Saccharomyces cerevisiae S288C: one gene and its partners. The protein of the gene in region 3 interacts with the protein of the main gene of each other region in a biochemical or structural test. Each region holds a gene or a part of one and is shown on either strand. Other genes may lie near its edges. The genes, in order: SVF1, FIP1 and CKA2.

Evidence for each region.
Region 1: of the proteins of CKA2 (region 3) and SVF1, one has a biochemical effect on the other in vitro, tested with the Saccharomyces cerevisiae proteins (3 studies listed by BioGRID).
Region 2: of the proteins of CKA2 (region 3) and FIP1, one has a biochemical effect on the other in vitro, tested with the Saccharomyces cerevisiae proteins (4 studies listed by BioGRID).

What each region holds. Positions count from the first base shown.
Region 1 is NC_001136.10:1,167,008-1,170,765, forward strand, and holds SVF1 (Svf1p), read right to left. Parts: upstream 1,653-3,758; coding exon 207-1,652; downstream 1-206. Other genes in the region: mitochondrial 37S ribosomal protein mS43 MRP1, read left to right, coding at 2,171-3,136; PAL1 (Pal1p), read right to left, coding at 3,319-3,758. UniProt on the Saccharomyces cerevisiae protein: Ceramide-binding protein that may transfer ceramides from the endoplasmic reticulum membrane to the cis-Golgi network membrane, and is thereby required for the biosynthesis of complex sphingolipids. Required for survival in response to oxidative stress.
Region 2 is NC_001142.9:602,616-606,257, forward strand, and holds FIP1 (cleavage polyadenylation factor subunit FIP1), read right to left. Parts: upstream 1,589-3,642; coding exon 605-1,588; downstream 1-604. Other genes in the region: BUD4 (Bud4p), read left to right, coding at 1-463; transcription factor IME1, read right to left, coding at 1,954-3,036. UniProt on the Saccharomyces cerevisiae protein: Polymerase-regulating component of the cleavage and polyadenylation factor (CPF) complex, which plays a key role in polyadenylation-dependent pre-mRNA 3'-end formation and cooperates with cleavage factors including the CFIA complex and NAB4/CFIB.
Region 3 is NC_001147.6:439,451-443,128, forward strand, and holds CKA2 (casein kinase 2 catalytic subunit CKA2), read left to right. Parts: upstream 1-2,083; coding exon 2,084-3,103; downstream 3,104-3,678. Other genes in the region: LPL1 (putative hydrolase), read right to left, coding at 1-808; SLD7 (Sld7p), read right to left, coding at 940-1,713; YOR062C (uncharacterized protein), read right to left, coding at 3,275-3,678. UniProt on the Saccharomyces cerevisiae protein: Catalytic subunit of a constitutively active serine/threonine-protein kinase complex that phosphorylates a large number of substrates containing acidic residues C-terminal to the phosphorylated serine or threonine.

The DNA of each region.
Region 1 (3,758 bases), on a different chromosome or scaffold from region 3:
ACGACAACTATTTATTATGGCAACATTGTTTACTGTGGCTATTTCTCGCATCACTCTTATTTTGAACAATAGTATCGATTATGTGACGCAACAATTAAAAAGGGGTATAACGATAACTTGCTATAATTATTAAAATTTGCAATATTAGATTTGTGTAGTATTAAATCACAGATAGGAAAAAGCATACGAGACCTTCCCACTTTTGCTCATGCTTCATTGTAAGACTCCTCACTAATCACATCTGATTCAGAAATGAATGTTACTTCGGTCCAAGCTACACCGTGAATTTTCTCCCCGCCATTTATTTGTAAAGTTGAGCTTTTTGGATCAGCATATTGGTATATAAATGGCTTAGTACCAGCAACACCAGAGACGATGTTTTTAACAAAACTTGGAATTTCGCCCATCACATCAATTCTTTCAACTAGGTTGTTCAACGGACCCTCCACAACAGCACAGATCTTATTTTCTTCTGCGACGTTCTTGTATTCTTCTTCCTCTTCATCTTCCTTTTCATCTTCCTTTTCATCCTCTCCTTGTAAAGCTTGTTCAGTCCCATTCTCGGATTCCAATTGTTCATCCTTGACTTTGGTATTGATACCTTTGAAGGTGATCTTAATATCTTTTGGAACTTTCCAACCAACAGAATCAATTTCTGAGTTTAAGTGCTCAACAAGATTGTTAGTTGTCATCGCTAAAACTTCTTTATCATCGGTAATAATACCAGCAGAAATTTTAGTGTTGGCATATGATTTTGGTGTAGTGAACTCCATCAACACCGCGGAATACTTTTCGGAATGGAAAAACATGAAGTTCCATGCCTTAGCTGCGTGATGAGGCTTCATGCCTTGGAAGGCCATTATAAATGTCGAAATCGCAGGGTCTTCCTCTTTAAAAGTAATCGTACGATCTTCATAGGTGATTTCGACTTCTTCACTGTCGCTTTCTTCTTCACTACCAGATTCCTCCTCAGAATCACCAGACTCTTCATCTTCGTCTTCATTATCATCCTCATCAGCTGAGGATTCTTCTTCATCAGATTCTGGAATAACTTCTTTCTTAACTTTGATAGTACCGTGACAAGCATTCCTTGGCCAGAAAACGTGTCTCATGCTACCCCATGGTTCATTGATATTGTTACCATAATAAGTCGCAGGATCATCGCCTATCTTGGCTCCAGGGGTTAACCTTCTTATATGCAAGTCAACGACAGATAAATCACAAACACTGGATTGAATGTGATAGCTTTCACCGTCTTCACTTAATTCTACAGAAAGATTGTCGGCATAGAAGTTTGGACCTTCGATGTAAAAATTTTCCAACTTGGTGGAAGTCCAGATATTCAAATCCTCTGGATTCTTCGAGTCAAAAATTCTGAAAGTAAATTGGGATGCAGTGTGCAACCCAATGATGTTCGAATGAATAACCTGGGCAAATCCAAAGATACCTGTTTTCAAGTCACTGAAATAAAAGATAACCGATTCAACGTTTGTATGGTCAGGAGCTTGCCAAAAAAAATCTTCACGACTGGTTTCTCTGTAAGGCTGCTTATTTTTTACCCTATCAGCAACACTATGAATGTAATCTTTCCCATATTCAGGCTCAGCCATACCAGTGACTGCTGAGATCCCACCTTTTATCCACTTCAACATTATATTATATTATACAAAAGCTTATTCGTTTCTTTTTTCTTGATTCGATGCAATAAATGACTGAATCTTTTGATCTTCTACAGATTTCAAATTATCAAACGAATACAAAAGAATTCTATCAACAGGCTCTATCTATATATAACAAACGAAAAGCCGTGCTATTCGTGAATCTCAAGGAGTAATCTTGCAAGATATCCCCGAATGTTTCAATCAACCAGCTGTCATTTCGCTTTTGTTTTCTCCCACTCATCGCAAGTTTGCCTCCTCAACAACAAAAAAACAACGAAAAAAAGCGGTACTAAACCGGACCTGAAGTTCCGTGGAAAGTGAGATTTATATTATGCAGGATTTTGCTCAGATTCTCTCAAGAGCAATATCATAATGCATAAGTGATGAAAAGTATGGCAGAAACGGTGGGAGGAACCGCAGTTTTAGCTAGGATCTGGAAACAATCAGTGATTTGCCATTTAACAGCTGGGGGAATCTAAATACTTTTGAATTTTAAGGTTTCCAGCACCATGCTTCGCTTTACTGGTGCTCGCGCTATTAGAAAGTACTCTACTAGGTATGCACTCGAGCACCTGAAAGAAGGTGCTCCTCTGAAAGGGCTGTTTTCTATTGAAGGATTACAGAAAGCATGGTTCGACCGAGTGAAATATCTCGATGCAAAATTGAACGATTGTACAAATGAAGCGCAACAAAAACCCTTAGAAACTCTCATCCATGAAAATTCGAAATCTGCTTCAAAGAAACATATCGTGAACTATGCGTCATCATTGTACAACTTGAAATTTAGCATGTCTTCCCTTCAGGGATGTATCAGGACTCCGCCAGAGGAATGCCCCAGGCTAGGTCCAGAGGCGCTACTTCAGACCCCTGATTTCAATAGGACAATAAGCAATGAGCCATTGACCACTGGCAACGAACGTTTGCAAGCAGCTCTAATTTCTTCATTTGGGTCTTTGATGGAGTTCAGAACATTATTAATAAATTCAAATCTTGCTATATCAGGCGACGGGTTTACGTGGTTAGTCGCAAGACGGCAGCTCGACAAACGTGCTATGCGCAACGACATGCCAAACAGGGATATTGAATATGATAAGCTGTTTATATTGAATACGTACAATGCGGGAACTCCCTTCAACTTCTCTACATCTGGGGTAATGAATGAGCTCAATAACCAATATACCAACATGGAAAAACAACGAGCCAAAGAAGCCGGTAATCTTGAAGATTCTGAGATGACTGCCAAGCAAGCCAAGACAAAATTTATTTATGAAACCCAACAGAAAGGTTTTTCTGGGAAAGAGGTTTCATATATCCCGCTTTTAGCCATTGATGCGTCACCAAAAACATGGTTAACTGATTATGGCGTATTTGGGAAACGAGAATATTTAGAAAGGGTATGGGACTCTATAGAATGGAAAATTGTAGAGTCAAGGTTACCTCAACGTACTAAGATCCAAGCATTCAACACGTTATGAATGAAACTGGTAATGGGAATTTTTTCCTTTTGATATAAGTTGGTAGTCTCTGTAAATATATAAAGTCAAACTATTCGTAATGTGTATATAACGTGGTCTTAAATTATTTTTATTCGTATCTCTCCCTTTTATTTGCCTGGCTTTGGTGTCTCATAGCTTCTTTTCTCTCTTTTAAGCTCACTTTACTGACTTTTCCTGCCGACCTTTAGACTTTTTACTCTGCTCAGTAATTTGCTGCCCGTCGATTTCTTTTTCATATTGGGCTCATTGTAGCGCACACCCAAATAAACGTCTTCCTCATCTTCATTGTGATCATCTTGGCCGTCGAAATCAGTAGTATAATTGGACTTATGCGTTCTGTTAGGAGAATTAACGGTTTTCGACCTTCTAACACCTTCATTGCTGTGACCAACATCATAGTTGTCTCTACTTAAACTCAAGTTTCTTCTAACGCCTGTCATGGGGGCATTGCTATCACCGGATCCTCCGAGACCTAATCGTTGAGAAAGTGACTTATTTCTTTGTAAACCACCGTTACGATTATGATAGGAATGGGCTTTTATGTCGTTTCTAATGGCAGCTGAGGAGGCCGGCGCCCCATCTAAAAACGTACTAGAACCTA
Region 2 (3,642 bases), on a different chromosome or scaffold from region 3:
TTCCAAATACAAGTTGCAACAAAATATCTATAAAGAAGGGTATTTATTGCAGGATGGTGGTGATCTGAAAGGAAAGATAGAAAACAGGTTTTTCAAACTGCACGGCTCGCAACTTTCTGGTTATCATGAAATCTCTAGAAAGGCTAAGATCGATATTAATCTGTTGAAAGTCACGAAAGTCCTACGTAATGAAGACATCCAGGCGGATAATGGAGGGCAAAGGAATTTTACAGATTGGGTACTCTTTAATGAATGCTTCCAGCTAGTATTTGACGATGGTGAAAGAATTACTTTCAACGCGGAATGCTCTAATGAGGAAAAAAGTGATTGGTACAATAAGCTCCAGGAAGTTGTTGAGTTGAATGTTTTCCATCAACCCTGGGTGAAAAAGTATTGTGAAAAGTTAGCTGAGGAGGAAAAGACTCGAACAACCGGTCATAATTTGAAGCAAGATTTTAATTAGAAGGTGATTAATGGAATGAAAACAGCATATAATCTGATGACTGAGAGGTCTTTAGTTTAAAGATTAATTAAATACACATAATAAGAGTAAATACGTGAATCATGGACGATATATTTTTATTTCAATTTCACAGATCCCCATTCATTTCGAATTTTGATTTTGATTTTGATTAGGCTGTTGGTTCATGGGTGGCATCATACCTGGCATGGGGAATGGTGGAAAGCTACCAAACATAGGTAAGGGTGGGAAGCTTGGATGCATTGGTGGAGCGGGAGGGTTTGGTGTTCCAGACATACTATTACCCATATTACTGTTCAGATTAGACATATTTGCATTGTTTACGTTGTTGTTGTTATCAATTATATTACCGAGGTTTGAGTCTGTATCATTCGCGGAATTCAACTTCCCTTGCTGTTGGAGGGATAATAGGCCCATTAGGATCCTCCTAGGATTATAATCTTGTTGTAGTTTTTCCTGTCTATGTAAATACTCCATCCAGGTAAATTCGTTAAAACCGTAATTGAAATAATCACTTAAGTTGGCCCCCGGTTGCCTCCAGGGTTTCTCCTTTAATACTTCAGGATCTATTGTCGTTATGCCAACACTATCAAAGATTCCCTCTTTATCCAGGTCTATAGAACCAGTCATTGCTTTCGGTACATTTCCATCGCTCTCTGTAGCTTTTACGGTCGTTGCCGTTACACCTTGATTTGCTTCTCCTTCTGTTATTAGTCTTTCATCTGATGTCTTTGTGATGGTATTGGATACATCTGTAGCTACGCTAATTACGTCTTTGCTTGAAGATGTCGCTGCGGTAGAATAAGAATCGAGTAGTTTTGCATCTAACCTAGTAGGGTCAGGACCCAGACTTATGATAACCTCTAGGTCAGAATCACTATCGTCATCTGAGGAGTCAGAGTAGATATCTTCATCAGAACGATCATCTCTGGCAGTAGCTGGAGTTTCTTCCACGGGAGAGTCGAATTTTTGCCTTTTAACTATATCAGGATTACTGGACGCACCTGCGTCTGCTTCATCATCTCTTGATCGTTTAGATGAAGGTAGTGCTAATTCGGAGTCGGAACCATACAAGAACTTGTCGTCTTCGTCTTCACTGGAGCTCATTTAGAGAAATGCTAATAATTTTAGTGTAGGCAAAAGGAATAAGAATGCAAAGCACGATGGTGCGGTTTAACAAAGTGAATTTGGTGATGTACTCTCTCAAGATTTATGTCGCATTATTCGCTACGAAGGTTTTTCAAGATTAAAACGAATCTCCTTTCCCATCGCGACATACGATAAGGCTAATAACGCTACGGTATTATGTCATGGAGCTTGAGACATTGAATACATATATATACCTATATATAATATATATATATGCAAATACACAAATTCTTAGCAATTTGAGTGAGACAATGGAAATAAAGAAATGAGTGTGAATGGATATATTTTGAGGGAAGGGGGAAGATTGTAGTACTTTTCGAGAATTAAGAATAGGTTTTACTAAACTTGTAGGATATTTCTTGAAACCTGACCTTGTCATAATAATCTTGATCATTAGAACTGCTGAAGGAGTAAGCCGCAGCATATCTTGACAGTTTGGAGTTCAACTTTTTTAGGAATTCTAACTCTTTTGAATTTAATTTTTGTAGTGATGGCGGTGGTGATTTTTCAACGTCGAAGGCAATTTCTAATGGGTAATAGTAGGAGGGCACCTGAGGTTCATCTATAAATGGATCTGCCTCATATACATTATCGGAGGCGTTGTTATTATTGCTGGTATTATTATAGTAATTACAATTAGTGCTTTTATGGTTGCTATAGTGACGATTATTAAAGGAATGTATGTTATCAGTATGTGGTGGAAACTGATCTTGATATTGGGAGTATGAATCCGTGTTTTTTGAATTTATTGATTCATGAATATTTGTGGGTTTTGAATAGGTATAATTAGTGGTATATGGGTAGAAGTCTTGTGTGTATGGGAATTCATTGAATTCAAAATTTTCTTGGAATATTTTGATATCTTTTTGTGCATTTGTATTAGTTTCATATTTTATTGTGTCACTAATATCGATATCATCTCCATTTCTGTTGCTCTTTTGAAAGTTATCATGGTTATTGAATGATGAGTGGAACGTAGATGCGGATTCATCATTAGAAAAAAGAGATGATAATGAAGAGGATCTGGTACTTTCAGAGCTCTTTTTTCCTCTTTCAGGACCAGTTGCCATTGTGCAGTCCTTCGTAGTTTTCGTTTCCTTGGAAATAGGCTGAGAATCAATATTTTCCAAATTCAGAAACTCTTCATTGAACAATATTTGAGGATTAATTAAATGAATTGGTTGTGTATGAACCAAGTTCTGCAGCTGAGATGAGGCAATTTTGTCAGACTTTTCAAAATGCCAACTTCTAGGGGAAATTGTAGATCCAAAAGAAAAACAAGGACGGTCTTCTTGATCGGTGGTTGTGTCATAATAAATGTTAGGTTGTTGTTGCTGTTCAAAAGGAAAGAGGAAGAAACCATCTTCTAAGGCAGCGTGAAGTTTTCCATGCATATCCGCTTGCATTTTGTTTGTGGGGAGAGGAATAGAAAAGCTTTTCTTTTATTATTTTTTTCCTTTTTCACCAGTAATGGGTGCCAGTAGGAATTTGTTTCTCTGTAGGTGACTAATGACAGTAGTATATTATGCTTTTAATCTTTAACAATACTACTGGTCGATTTATAATATGATAATGTAAAATAAATCGTAATAGGATAGTCGATGTTTGTATCTACTTCACGAAACAGTTATGGTATACGGTAGTTTAAATATCTGAAGAAGCAAAAATACCGAACTACAAGGGAAGCATTTTGAGAAAAATATTAAGATCAAAAGATAATTAATTTACCTTAAATACATAAAAGAGGAAAAGTAATATACAAGGTAAACAACAGGCAAGGAACAAGATCAAAAACGTCCGACCCCAATTTAGTAGTAAATTACAGTAAGAGAAAAAGGTATTGGGGCTGATACATATTAATTGTGCGTTGTTGTTGTTGTTTAATTTTAGATTGGCTATTATGAGTACACACAAAACGTTGTAAACGCAATCACCCATGGATAAGCGCTCCCTTTAAAATGCACTACGAAATCATTGATCTACTAACTTTAAACCGGACTTAAACCATCAAA
Region 3 (3,678 bases):
GAATAGTGCGTCCCCACTTTTTATAAGTCTTGGTCGGTTTAGTAGGAGCATGGCTGTTAACGTTTAAAGCGTTTAGGTCGACAATCTTAGGCAATATTCCTTTATAGCCAGATCCCGGAATCTTTTCTTCGAATGTATATTTCAATTTGTTGTCAAAATCTATAAATGGGTCGCAATCCGTAATAAACGCCGTATAGAAGGCTACCGTACGGTCATTTTTGACATTCGCAAACGCTATCCTCCATTTAAATAGCGAGAGTGCTTCAAGGTACTCACCCTGGCTCAATTTCACCAATATATTGTTACTAGAATTTGCGATAAACATTTCTCTCCCGCTTTTACCTAAAATAGTAGATCCCAAGGTCCTCAGCGCACTATATAACGCACTTTTATATGCTATGCCCGTAGGATTGTAAAACTCTACCCCCAAATGAGGCGTTGCCATTGTAATGAATAATTGTGGTTCAATATCCTCGAACAGTTCTTTAAATTCGGTCAACATCTTACCGATCATAAATCGGGCCACTAATCCGCCTTGCGAATATCCCATTACGCTTAGTTTGGTGATTTTCCCGTCTTTATAATCTCGGATAAATTCACAAACTTCAATCAATGTCCTGTACCCAATGATTTCGATACCATCAAACGTCTTAAACATGGCATTCTGCTTTGGTAAAAAATATATCATATCATCGTTAACATCTTCCTTTTTTAATGTAGTGGATAAAATTGTCCTCATAGATTCCATATGAGTATAGTTACCCCATAGCCCGTGAATCAGCACAAAAAGGTGTTTATCCGAAGTCATCTGAAGCGCTGTATAATATATATGGTTGATCACACGAAGTTTTCTACCGATTATTGCAGTAAAGAGTTGCCACCCTTTCTTTATTATCTTTGTTTTTCATTTTGATCTTATATACTGAAAATCCCCGTTGATCATGATTTGGTAAAGAGCTTCAGAAGAGTTTCCACAGTTTCCTGCAATGATTCAAACGAAACCTCTTCACCAGATCCCATCGAAATGCGTTTTAATTCATCCCTGTGCGTAAATTCAGCTGCATCAAACGTTATCTTGTATAACTTTTGATAGTCTGTAATAGAATTAGAAATACCTCGAAGTCGGAGGCCACCCAAAATTAGCTTGGACAAAGTTTCATTGAATTGAAGCCGTTTGTCATTAATATGCACGTTGCGATACACTTCCGTTTTCGTTCCGATCTTCCTTTGTTGAGATTGTTGTATTATTATATCAATACTACCTTCCTTTGATACGGAGGCCCTTGTCTTTCCAATATCTTGCTTCAATTTGGTGACCTGGCCATCAAACTCATGCTTCATTGTTAGATCCACTTGAAAGCAGTTTAACTCTGTGTTCTCTCGAAATATAATCAAGTATGCTGGCTCCTGCGATCGCTGATCGACCTTGTCAAACAATTCAATGACAATGCCACGATTCGCGTTCCTTAGTTTTGATTTGAAGTAAGCCTGTGCGGTTGCACTGGTACTATAACATCTATATGTATTCATATTTGTGGAGCGGACCCACAAAGGCAGTTTTGCGAGATCTACATACTGAATGAATTGTCCCCTCAACTCTGAAGTTGATTTACTTGCTGTAGGTCGATTGCTCCAAAGTTGGATATCCCTAATGACCAAACTTCCCTGCTTTCCGCTAAGAGTAAAATTTAGTGTGCATAATTTCCGTGACATCAAAAGTCAGGCGAATTGGTGAATGCTGTCCCCTTTCAAGGCAGTCTATCATTTCTTAGTTACCTGCCAACAGGCCTTTATCAGGCCTCAAAGAAAAAAATTTCCTTGCGTAGCCCGCTTTTCGCCCGAACCTGGCAAAGCAAACAGACGATCGAAAAATTTCCAACGATCTTATCTAGGTGGAAGTTATAAAAAGAAGAATAAAGCATCGTCAACCTTTTTAACCTGAATTGGGAAACAACGGGCACACACATTTGTTGGAGTTTGTATGATTGCTAAAAAATAAAAAGTAATTAAAAAAACATCATAGAGTTGTAAGGTCTCAGGGAAATAGAAGGAACAATAAACCTAAAAGAATAGAAGAAACAGAATGCCATTACCTCCGTCAACATTGAACCAGAAATCTAATAGAGTCTACTCTGTAGCTAGGGTGTACAAGAATGCCTGCGAGGAGAGACCACAAGAATACTGGGACTACGAACAAGGGGTGACCATCGATTGGGGAAAGATTTCCAATTACGAAATTATCAACAAAATTGGAAGAGGGAAATATTCCGAAGTGTTCAGCGGTAGATGTATTGTAAACAACCAGAAGTGTGTTATTAAAGTTTTAAAACCAGTTAAAATGAAAAAAATTTATAGAGAGTTGAAAATTCTGACCAATCTAACAGGCGGCCCCAATGTTGTTGGCCTTTATGATATAGTACAAGACGCTGACTCCAAAATACCTGCTTTGATCTTTGAGGAAATCAAAAATGTTGATTTCAGAACTTTATATCCTACATTCAAACTTCCTGACATCCAGTATTATTTCACGCAATTATTGATTGCGTTAGACTACTGTCACTCCATGGGCATAATGCACAGAGACGTAAAGCCTCAGAATGTCATGATTGATCCTACGGAACGTAAACTAAGGCTGATCGATTGGGGCCTGGCGGAGTTCTACCATCCAGGTGTAGATTACAACGTTCGTGTCGCTTCGCGTTACCACAAGGGACCAGAACTTTTAGTAAACTTGAACCAATATGACTACTCCCTAGACTTATGGTCAGTAGGATGCATGCTAGCAGCTATTGTCTTCAAAAAAGAACCTTTTTTCAAAGGGTCGTCTAATCCAGATCAACTGGTAAAGATTGCCACAGTACTAGGAACCAAGGAACTGTTAGGCTATTTGGGTAAGTACGGGTTGCACTTACCATCTGAATACGACAACATTATGAGAGACTTTACAAAAAAATCGTGGACACACTTTATAACCTCCGAGACCAAATTAGCTGTTCCTGAAGTGGTTGATTTAATCGACAATTTATTAAGGTATGACCATCAAGAAAGATTAACAGCAAAGGAGGCTATGGATCATAAGTTTTTCAAAACGAAGTTTGAATAATTGGACAACAATACTCTTAGCAAGGCAATTCTTTTTCCACCACTGATTTCCATTTATAAAAAGCAGGGGTTTTCCTTTTTTGTAGCTTGATATTAGAGAATATCCTTAATGTGAATATTAAATTGCAAACTCTATTTAACAACGAATGTAGATTATTATATGACCAGAAAATCACTTTATATAGATATAAGAGCCTTCCGTAATGCTATGCAAGTTTTGATGAATTATTATATTGTCGTGAGGCGTGTTCCGAGGAGTTTCGTCGCCATTGGGATAGAGATGCTCGTAATCGTACGTGTCTGGAAGTGCCTGCCGACGGTAGCGATGTCTACTCTCGTCCCAGACAATGGAATAGTTTTGGAATTGTTCTACATCATTTATTAGAACACATGATTCACGAAATCTCCCACGTTTGTCAATATCTCGCCTACGAACAGTGTCATCGAATGATATTGAACGCTGAGAGAGCCATTTACCTTTTGAGTAAAATACGCTGCCTTTTTTCAGCAATGAAGAAGCACTTCCCTCCTTTCTTACATCCAATAATTGCTTCCCTTGTTCCTTTATATTCCCCA